Callithrix jacchus: one gene and its partner. The protein of the gene in region 2 purifies or fractionates together with the protein of the main gene of each other region. This does not show direct contact. Links are inferred from orthologs where the notes say so. Each region holds a gene or a part of one and is shown on either strand. Other genes may lie near its edges.

The links.
Region 1: the proteins of DEPTOR (region 2) and FBXW11 purify together in Homo sapiens (affinity purification with western blotting; 4 studies listed by BioGRID, with this or other methods). This does not show direct contact. The link is inferred for Callithrix jacchus from reciprocal best matches to the Homo sapiens genes DEPTOR and FBXW11.

Annotation. Positions count from the first base shown.
Region 1 is NC_133503.1:64,277,968-64,283,746, forward strand, and holds the start of FBXW11 (F-box/WD repeat-containing protein 11), read right to left. Parts: upstream 3,879-5,779; 5' UTR 3,744-3,878; coding exon 3,699-3,743; intron 1-3,698.
Region 2 is NC_133517.1:77,363,633-77,368,957, forward strand, and holds part of DEPTOR (DEP domain-containing mTOR-interacting protein), read right to left. Parts: intron 4,181-5,325; coding exon 4,052-4,180; 3' UTR 1-4,051. UniProt on the Homo sapiens protein: Negative regulator of the mTORC1 and mTORC2 complexes: inhibits the protein kinase activity of MTOR, thereby inactivating both complexes. DEPTOR inhibits mTORC1 and mTORC2 to induce autophagy.

The DNA of each region.
Region 1 (5,779 bases), on a different chromosome or scaffold from region 2:
TGACAGAAAGAAAAAAAATGATCCAAAAAGAAAAAAGACCATTTCCAATAACTTCATTTATTTGCTTCCCCCGCCCCAGAGGGTCTTGCTCTGTTGCCCATGCTGGAGAACAGTGGCAAAATCCCAGATCTCCTCAAACTCCTGGGCTCAAGCAATCCTCACCCCTCAGGCTCCTGAGTAGCAGGGACTATAGGAGTGCACCACCATGCCTAATTTTTTTTATTTTTTATAGAGACAGGGTCTTGCTATGTTGCCTAGGCTGGTGTCAAACTCCTAGGCTCAAGCAATCCTTCTACCTCCTGAAGTGCTGGTATTACAGGTGTGAGCCACTGCACCTGCCCACACCTTCTTAATAAGGATCAATGTATTTTTATTTATTTATTTTTAGAGACAGGGTTTCACCATGTTGGTAGGCTGGTATCGAACTCCTGACCTAGTGTTCCGCCCGCCTCAGCCTCCCAAAGTGCTGGGATTACAGGCGTGAGCTACCGCGCCCAGTGGATCAATGTATTTTAACCTATTTTACTTCATTCAACAAGTAATACAGCCACTTAAGAGATAAACAGAAGGGAAATGACTCACTTAAGGTCATTCAGCAAAAAGGGAAGTCATTTAACAATTAACTACAAACCATCCATTAATTGTGTAAAGGGAAGAGGAGATTCACTCAATCCCTAGAGGAGGCAGGATCCCCTTTCCTAAAGTGATAAGAAATCTGGAAAAACAGGCCCACTAACAGGTACAGAGCCAATATAAGCCATAAAAGTCTTCTGGTGGTTAAATTCTTTACCATCAGTTCATCATCAGTAAGTTCACGGTCTAAATTAAGAGTTTATAGACTTTAATAACATTAAAATCTGGATCCTATAGAGCAGATCAGTAGGAGACACACCCTTTGTGGACCCAGGCCTCAGGCAGGGGTAGGAGTCAACGTGGGGGTTATATTTGGAAATTTAATTCTTCTGCTATCACCAGCTTTATTTCCTAATGTACTTATCAAAAATGCCAGGAAAGACAGAAGAATTAATATCAAGGGAAGTAGAAGGATGAAGATTAGAAAATGGAGATAACCAAGAAGTCTGTTTCCTCTTTCTAGTACAGCACATTTTGGAATACAAAATGAAAGTTATCTTGTTAACCATTAAGTGCCAAACTGGTACAAGCAGCACAATCACAAATATTTGAGTACTCAAGTTGACTCATAAAAATCTAAAAATATTTCATGCTAAGGTCATTTTTTTTTACAACACCATCATTTTAACCCCATCTCTATCAATCGTATTATTTTGAAACCAATGTAAAAAACATTTTTAACCCAGTTCTGGAAACTGTCATTTAAATGTAGTGAAAACAGAAAGCCACATGCAATTAGATTCTAAGGCATTATCATTCCTACATTTGATCCTGGATTTACTTAATCAGTTGTTAAGCACCTTTGCTATTTTACTAAAATAAATACATAAACTTAATTTACAATAAGGGCTGTCTAAAAGTCAAATGGTATCCCTTTCAGGGAATATCAAAATCCTTAAATAAAAACCCATTTTTAAATTAATCATAATATAACTAAACTCTCCATTAAATTTTCTAAGAATTCCAGTTTAAATCCCCGTTTATAATGTCCTTAACAGGCTGAAATCTCTTTTCAGATCAAAACCAAGTGCTATCATGTCAAATCAAAACTTAAGTTACAAACATAGGAAGCCAATGCATTTAGGCCAAAGGTTTTTATTTTTTTTATTTTGTAACCATACACTGATGTGGGTTACAATGTATTTCTCCCAATTCTTTTGACAATAAAGACATTTTAGTTATTTTTAAAAAGAATAGAAACAGAAGGAGCTGGGAACAGCCAATTTCAAAGAGGCACCAAGTTACAATTTTTCGATATGAAGTACTTCTGTTGTAAGTACAGGTATTGTATGAACATTCTTAAGAATATGTAATATACTTAGTCGATTTAAGATATTTAGCAAAATAACCCACTACAAAAGTTACAGAATAGCAAACACTGACTACAAGTATGATAAATTATGCTGAAAAGGAAAAATTACTCAGCATGTGACATTATCCCTTTGAAAACAACCACACGTGCACACACACATGCATACAAAAATCAAAAACTATCAGTTTCCCTTTTTTTCCTCCTAGTTTTCAAGAATGCTAGAGAAGTCCAGTTCTGTGAATTACGCAAAGGACAGCAAACATTAAGCTGCCTCCATATTTATGCTACTGTACTTCCATTTTTAAAACAAGTATCTCCACTCCCCAGATACCATCATCCACAGAAACCATGCAGCTATCCAACAGACTTTCAGTGTCACCATTTATTATTTATAGCGTTAAATGGGGGAAGTGGCTCTGATGTCACCAACCCTACCCAGTGGAATCACTGACTCAATAAACATTTTCACACTGAAGAAAATCTGGCTAGGAAAACATTTTGCTGGGTTAAGTAGATTCTTCCACCTCTCCTCTCAACCAAGGGGAAATTGTTACCGTGTTAGGGCAGATACAAAGAAACTGTCAAGGCTTCCACAGAAAGAAATCCTGGACACGTCCGTTTGCTCATGCAGACTTCCTCTTCCCAACTCTCCAGAGCCCAGTTTGATTTCCCTCATGTTCAAATTGGCAGGTAATATCTGCCATATTTTATTTCTTCCACCAAATCATCCACCAATTAGCAAATTCTTCACTTCTAGCCACTCTCTCACGGTCCTGTTCCTAAAAACCCCTTCTGGCTTCAAATCCTAAAGCTTCGGAAGAGGGTAGAGGGTGTCCACGGACCGGGGAGTCTGGCCTGGCTGCCATCGGTTTCTAACAGAAGAGTGGTCGTTTCCCCCGGGGGCCAAGGATTCCCCTTTTTTTTTTTTTTTTTTTTTTTTTTTTCTTTCTGAGAAGAAAGAACTCCCGGCAGTGATGAGGATGGTTCCCTCCCCCATCATCCCCAATTTCCGAAAGCAGCTCTGGAAAACGTGAAGTTGCGGCTTCTCTTTCCTGGGGTATGGAATCCAGAGTACCTGGGGCTTTGCTATGCAAACATCCCTCTCCGCCGGGTAGGAAACCCTTTGTCCGAGAAGCCGGACACCACAAGGGCCCGGGAAAGAGGCCTCCTTATCCGCCACAGCCTCAAACCCGAGAGCTCCCTGCCCCCCAGCTCTGCAGGGCCTATCCTGGCATCCACACAGACCTAGGCTGGGGAGTGGGTGCTGAAACCCCTCCTAGGACACCGAGGCCCAGGCGGCCCCGACCGATCTCCTCCCTACTCCTTCCCACCACCACACTCGGCCTGAGTGGGGCTTGCAAGCGCAGTGCGGGCCTGGGCCGGAGACACAGAGTAAAGAAAAAAAAAAAAAATCCCCTTCTAAAAGAAGGAGAATGGGGTGCTAGAGCGAGTGAGACCTAACTCTACAGCAAAAACGAGCGAGGGTCGTCCGAGAGCTGGGACCGGAGACGGGACAGGGGGAGGGGGAGAAGCGAGCGAGGGGCATGGAAGGGGCCGGGCCAGGACCGGCCTGAGATGTCGAGAGATCGGAGGAACCCGAGCCGAGTCCGAAGCCAGAGAAGGCTAGGGGCCCGGGTCTGGGCCGAGACCGCGGGGAAGGGCCAGAGCCGGCCTCGCACCGGACGTTGAAGTGGGCAGGCCAGTCCGGGGCCGGACGGACGGAAGCACAGACGGTCCAGTGGGCCGCACTCACCATGAGCTCGATGGTCTTGTCCTCAATCACCGAGTCGGGCTCCATGGCGGCCCGGCGGCCCCGCCTCGCTCTCCCCGCGCAGCAGCGAACGGCCCGGGCGGAGGAGGCGACGGCGGAGGCGGCAGAGGCGTAGGCGGCTATCGCACCCACTCTAGCTGCCAGCCCGCCCGGGCCGCCGGCAGCTCCGCCCTCCCCCTCGGCGAACGCAGTACGCAGAGCAAGAACTACACCTCCCAGCAGGCGCCGCGGCCCGCAGTGCGTTGTGGGAGCGAGCCGCCGACACCGGGCCGCTGGTTCTAGGCACCCGAAGCTGAACTCCGAGCTGAGAGTAGCACTGTACTGTGGATGTAGGACGTGTAAACCTGAAGAGTTAAGAGCGTGCTCATATTAGGGCCTCGAGAGCGCCACGACTACATGGCCCAGAAAGCCGTGCGCCCAGGTTCTACTTCCTAGTAGCCTCTCCTGACTTCCTGGCAGCCCAAGGCTGCCCAGACCGGGACGGAAACTCCGAGGCAACTCCTCCCTAGTCGGAGGTCCTGCGTGTGCGACCCATTTCCGCACATGCGCGGTCCATGCCGCAGTGCCCACTCGACGCTTAGGTAGCTGCGCTGCCGTCTGCCAGCGTCTGGTAGTAAGGGCAGATGGTGGAGACAGGTGGGTTCTAGGGGCGTTAGGAAGGTAGGTGTATGGGCCTGGGGCTCAGGTGTGGGAAGGGGCCAGCGAGTGAGAGAAGCTTGGCCCAGGGAAGAGGCTCTGAGAAGATGGGCATCCTGAGAGTTTGGAGATTTCTTCAGGAAAGAGGGAGTTTTGGGAAATGGGCTGTGGTGCTGTGTGTGTATGTCATACAATCTGCAAGGAGCTGCAAGATTAAAGGGAACCTGCGTATATCGAGTCCGTCTCATTCATTCGTTCAGAAATGGTTTTGTTTTGTTTTGTTTTTTGAGACGGAGTTTTGCTCATGTTACCCAGGCTGGAGTGCCATGGCGTGATCTCGGCTCACCGCAACCTCCGCCTCCTGGGTACCTCAGCTTCCTGAGTAGCTGGGATTACAGGCACGCGCCATTATGCCCAGCTAAGTTTTTGTATTTTTAGTAGAGACGGGGTTTCACCATGTTGACCAGGATGGTCTCGATGTCTTGACCTCGTGATCCACCCGCCTCGGCCTCCCAAAGTGCTGGGATTACAGGCTTGAGCCACCGCGCCCGACCCAGAAATGGTTATTTTTTAAGCATCCAGCTTCTGCTTCGTACCGCTCTAGGCACTGAGAATCAGCTCTGAACATGACAGACAAGGCTCTTGTTCTCATGGAGCTTAATTCTGGTAGAGGGACGACAGACATTAACCAAAAGAGTGATAGTGGCTAAGAAGGAACACACAAGCGGAGACTTCTAGTGAACTCAGCCTCCACTTAGGGTTGTCAATGCCCTTTAACCAAATCCCACCAGGAACACACGGATCGTTGAACAAACTGGGTTTATTACTAGTTGCAGTGACTGAAAACACACATTGAGGAACGATGGGGCATCTGGGTAACAGTTAATGATTCGGAAGAGGGTTTAAGGAAGTGTGGGCTTCTCTGGATTAGATGCTGTCAGGAAGAGAGGGTCATTACATGATTGAGCATCTCAGTTCATCTTATCTAGTGGAAGGGAATGCCTGTAAGGCTAAAGCTGTTCAGGTAAAGAAACAGCAGCCTGGCCGGGCACAGTGGCTCGTGCCTGTAATTCCAGCGCTTTGGGAGGCCAAGGCGGGCGAATTGTTTGAGCCCAGAAGTTCCAGACTAGCCTGGGCAACATGGCGAACATCGTCTCTACAAAAAATACAAAAATGAACTGAGCCTGGTGGTATGTGCCTGTAGTCGCAGTCACTTGGGAGGCTGAGGTGGGAGGATCGCTTGAGCCCAGGAAGTGGAGGTTTCAGTGAATGGAGATTGCACCACTGCACTGCAGCCTGATCGATAGAGACAGACCTTGTCTCAAAAATGGGGGAAAAAAAAAAAGGCAGCAGCAACTCCCTCTATTAGCCAATCAGAGGTATTGGAGTCATTTTTTGTGGTTTGGACAATCATCAGGTTTTATCTG
Region 2 (5,325 bases):
GAGTAGCTGGGATTACAGGCACGCGCCACTATGCACAGCTAATTTTTTGTATTTTTTAGTAGAGATGGGGTTTCACCATGTTGACCAGATGGTCTCAATCTCTTGACCTCGTGATCCACCTGCCTCGGCCTCCCTAGTCGTTCTTATTATTTATAAAAAATGAAACAAGATTAATAGTCAACAGGAGAGAATAGCTAATATCACCAGTTTAAAACAGGTCTTTTAATTTTTTTGCAATAGTGTCTTGCTCTATTTTCTAAGCTGGAGTGCAGTGGTGTAATCACAGCTCACTGCAGCTTCAACCTCCCAGGCTCAAGCTATCCTCCCTTCTCAGCCTCTAAGTAGCTAGGACTACAGGTGTGTGCCATCACGCCTGGCTAATTTTTTATTTTCTGTAAAGATGGGAGTTTCACTGTGCTGCCTAGGCTGGTCTCAAATTCCAGGGCTTAAGTAATCCTACCATCTCAGCCTCCCAAAATGCTGGCATTACAGGTATGAGCCACTGCACCCAGCCTAAAATAGGACTTAAAGCAGATTACTTATACCCCATATTTGAAAGAAAAGAGTATTTGGAAATGTAAGATATAGATCTGAACTGAAATCATTTTTAATATTAATTCCTGTCTCTCCAATGCAGCCACCTTTTATATGATAGTGTGAAGCTGATCACATCTAATCTATGCAAAGATGGGTATCTTCTTCATGTTATCCACCATTTCTCAACTAGTCTCTATATTAATTTACACAATTATTTAACAAAGATTGATAACACATCAGACAATAGAATCAATCCAAAAGGCAATAGCACTTCTTTCTACCAGGGAACATGGCTTTCAATTTGTGCATCCTATGCTAATATGCTAACGAAGAAACAAAAACTACTTTCATCTCTGTAGCAAAAACATAAACATAAATGCCTGGAAAATCATCATGCTGGCCAGGCTAGTCTCAAACTCCTGACCTCAAGTGATCCACCTGCCTCGGTCTCCCAAAGCACTGGAATTACAAGCTTGAGCCACTGCACTTGACTGGGTTTTCTTCTTTTTTATGTATTTACTTATTTATTGATTGATTTTTTGAGTCAGAGTCTCTCTCTGTTGCCCAGGCTGGAGTACAGTGGCTTGATCTCTGCTCACAGCAGCTTCCACCTCATTGGTTCAAGTGATTCTCCCACCTCAGCCTCTCGAGTAGCTGGGATTACAGGTGCACGCCACCACACCCAGCTGATTTTTCTGTTTTTTATTAGAGATGGGATTTCATCATGTTGGCCAGGCTGGTCTTGAACTCCTGGCCACAAGTGATCTGCCTGCCTTGGCCTCCCAAAGTGCTAGGATTACAGGCACCAGCCACTGTGCCCCACCCTTGAGGTGGGTTTTTAGACAACAATGGAGAGCTGACACACTGCTCTGTGGCAGGAATTGTGCTAGGTGAAGAGAATACCCTGGATAGTAAGACAGCCCCTGCTCTGAAGATACTTAGAGTCTACTTAAGCAAATAGACAGTAACAGGGAAATTTCAAAGTAAATGTCATCAGTGCTCTAACGGGGCACGGGGAGGACTTCAGGATCCATGGGAATTTAGAAAAGAGGCATCAATCCTAGAACTGGGGAGCTGGTGCAGGCTTCTCAGAGGAGATAATTTCTAAAGGGAATTTATATGAAGAAAGAGTTTTCCAGGCAACAGTAAGACAGAATGTTCTTCTTTCCACAAAGAAGAAAGTACATGTGCAAAGGCTGGAGGGAGTGAGATAGGGCCCCCGGGGAAGCAGGTGTAGTCATTTTAATTGCTGTGTAAAGATATAAGGGGTGGGCTGGAGGAATAACTAAGGGAAATCTCTTATGGCCTTAAGAGATTCCCTGGAATTTGGCCTTTAAACCTAGGGTGATGGGAACCAAAGAAGGAAATCCTCCCTCCCTTCTTTCCTTCCTTCCTCACGGGCAAGAGGAGGTTGTGTGCAATAGACACAGAGGGATGCTGCTCTGGTGCTTAGGTTGGCTAAAGGGAAGTTCTATTATGCCAGGGTCCAAGATAATGGGTAAAGCAGGCAAGAAGAAGATGCCATTTCTGGAAAGGCGTTCCTTCTTCTTTTGTCACTTAATGAATACCTGAGGACAGAAAGCAGTTAAGACTCATCTTTTAAAGATGCTATAAATTTTTTAAAGCCAGTGGTAAGGTTTCCCACTTCATTAGTTTTGTGGCCTTGGGCATATGACTAACCACTTTACGAGTCAGTTTCCTCATTTGTGGAGATAATGACCATATCGACTTCACAGGCCAATAAGGACAAATGGCAGAAAGTCTTAGCACAGAGCCTGGCTCAGAATAAACCCTCAATGTAAGGTCCTTAAATGGGGAAAGGCTGAGGGGAGTAACATGGGATTTAGCATTAAACCTGTGTTTGCATTCAGCCTCCGTCACTGAGTACTGCTTGCAACTGTGTGAACTTAGAGACCATTTAAAAACTTGCTCAGACTTAGTTTCCACATCTGAAAAAATGTGGATGTTAATACCTACCTTGCAAGGTGGTGATGACGGTTAAAGAATATCATAGACATTAAATGCGCAGAGCCTGCCATATAGTACAAACGCACACCCACACAGAAGTGATAGTATTTCTCAAATGTATATCAACAGTATTACTGTTAGACATTCTCTGTCCCTCCAAAATCCTATTCTCTGACTAAAGCTACAAATCAGAAACGTTAGATTACCAGAAATATATATATCTATGTCCATAACATATTTAGCACAGTAGGTCCATTCCACCAGTACCTGTACATTATGATAACCTAATACAAAGAAATGGCTGTGGTATGACATTCATATTTTATTTTGTTAATGCATGATAAAAAAAATTAACCTCTTCATTCAGATCCCTTATTTGGAATGAAGAATTTAGTATTGCCTAACTCCCTAATTTGGCACTTCGAGGAATTTCCTCTGCACACCAAGCCCCGAAATGTACTATTTTCTAGACCAAAAATGAAAACATGCATATATACAAGTGAGCTAAAAAGTTACAATGCAAGATGGTCATTTTGGTGAAAAACAATTCCCCCAAATAAGCAGCATGTCATGTCCTTAGAATATGTTACACTAGAAAGCTAGTAAAAATTCAGGCTAAGGAGGCAATCTAGAGTTCAAGTTTTATCACATATCAGCAAAGTTTTAGACTTCGCTTAAAAACAGACACCTTCAAAGTGAAATCTTGCCAGAAGGGTTGATTTTTTTAATGACGTGTATATACAAACTTCTCTGTTTTAACATTCAACATATTCAAGATTAAATCTAGAAAGCTAATATACCTGATTTATAAAACAAAATGATTTTAGGCTCAGACAGAAAATAGGGACAATTTTGTGCAGTCTCTCCCTATCTACCCTCGCCCATAGCATCACCCAGTTTTTGTTTTTTTCGTTTTTTGTTGTGTTTTTGTTTTAGCTAATGCCACAATTGAAACCTGTACTAACTTAAAAGTTGACACTAAAGGCAGGAATTGAGAAATCAATTTTTATGGCTTTTAAGCACTTGAATGCTTTAGAATCCCCTTGAAAATGCTAGTGAACAGGTCTTATTCCTTTGGATGTTGTTTCAGTTTGAATCTTGGTGACATCTAGATTCCTTGTCAAATAGATCCGTGCTAATTTTGGAGAAAGTACAATTAAAAACCCTTAACGACTACTCTATTGACTCTGGAGAAGGGGACTTTAGCATGTTGCTGTTTGGACTAGAGAAGCATTTCAACACCTTTCTGCAAACTAAGATAAAAAACAACAAACAAGACCTACAAACAGAAATCTAGTAAGGCATTTCTACCATGTAGGAAAACTCTGTTTCCCAAATGTTTTCTACACTGACATCTTATTAAAAAGATATGTTACCCGGTTCTTCCACATTCAGTGTATAAAACTCAACTTTAGATGTGTGTGTGCGGAGAAGATTCATAGGACTGAAACCATCCATTTGCATGGAAATCTCATCATTGCATTGCTTTGTGTCATTCTGGCTTCGATCACCCACAGGCCGCTAGAGGGCTGGGAGGCCCAGGAACTCAGCACTCTAACTCCTCCATGACTTCCATGACAATTGTCCGTGGGCCCGTCAGGATCAGATTGCTCACGGTCCGGTAGTCTACGTGCAAGACATTAAGCCCATTGACAGAAACGACAAACTGACAGACCTAAAGGCAAAATGCAAAAAAAAAAGAGCGTCTGTTACAGCACCTGGTTTAAAACAGAGCTTTAATAAAGACACTGTGTAGCCCTAACAGGTAACTTCATTCTTAATATACCCAAATGCATCCAACTGATGACTCCAATTCAATAATTTCCAAGGAGCCACACTTTTTCTGGAAGGCAGTATAAGTTTTTTTAAATCATTTTAGTGTTTTACAATGGGCTTAAATCCTAACTCAGAAATTTACTGTCTTGAGCTACATATTTAAATTTCTGAGCTTTAGTTCCCTCAATCCTAAAATAGGAATTAATAATAATAATAGCGATAACTACCTTAAAAGAGTGTTGTAAGAATTAATGACATATAGAGTTCCTAATTGCAGTAATTCACAGGCACATTTGCTCGCAATTATTAATTATTAGTGTTGAGGACTCAACCAAAGAATGTTAAAAATACTAAAACACTTTGGAAGCCATCATTTCCTTTTATTATTTTCTATGTGGGTAATATCAGTATAAACTTAAACACATTATTAAATCCAAAAATAGCTATACCTATTACTTAGATGCAACAAAATTGGAGAGTATTGGAAAGAGTATTAGAACGCTGTCTCTGTGAAATCAAAGATACAGATTTAAGTTATAGGTCCCTTTGGTGGAATACCTTAATCAAGTAATTTCTCCTCTTCTATGTCTCAGTGATATGAATGTCTCATTTGTAAAACAGGTAAAAATGCCTATTCTCACAGGCTCAAACTAGATAACGCATTTAAAACCTCTTTGCAAACACCAAGTGCTACACTGATGCTGAGTTCTATTAATTGCTTTCCTTTGAAAAAATACTCACTTCCTTCATAGTCACAGGCAAAACAAAATGGAAAGTGGGCAGTAGTACATGGACTGGTTATGTACCCAATAAACACTTGCTGTTGTCATAAACCTCAACACTTTCCACTCCCCAACCTACATTACTAGCATGTTTTCTCTACATAAGATCACAACACTATTACTGTTTCTCTTTTCTTCGTTCCACAGATTTGTCCTCCTGGACTCAGGGCATATGTTATACAAAATCAGCAGTTTTTTCTTTTTTCAGATGGAGTCCCACCGTGTCACCTAGACTGGAGTGCAGTGGCACCATCTCAGCCCA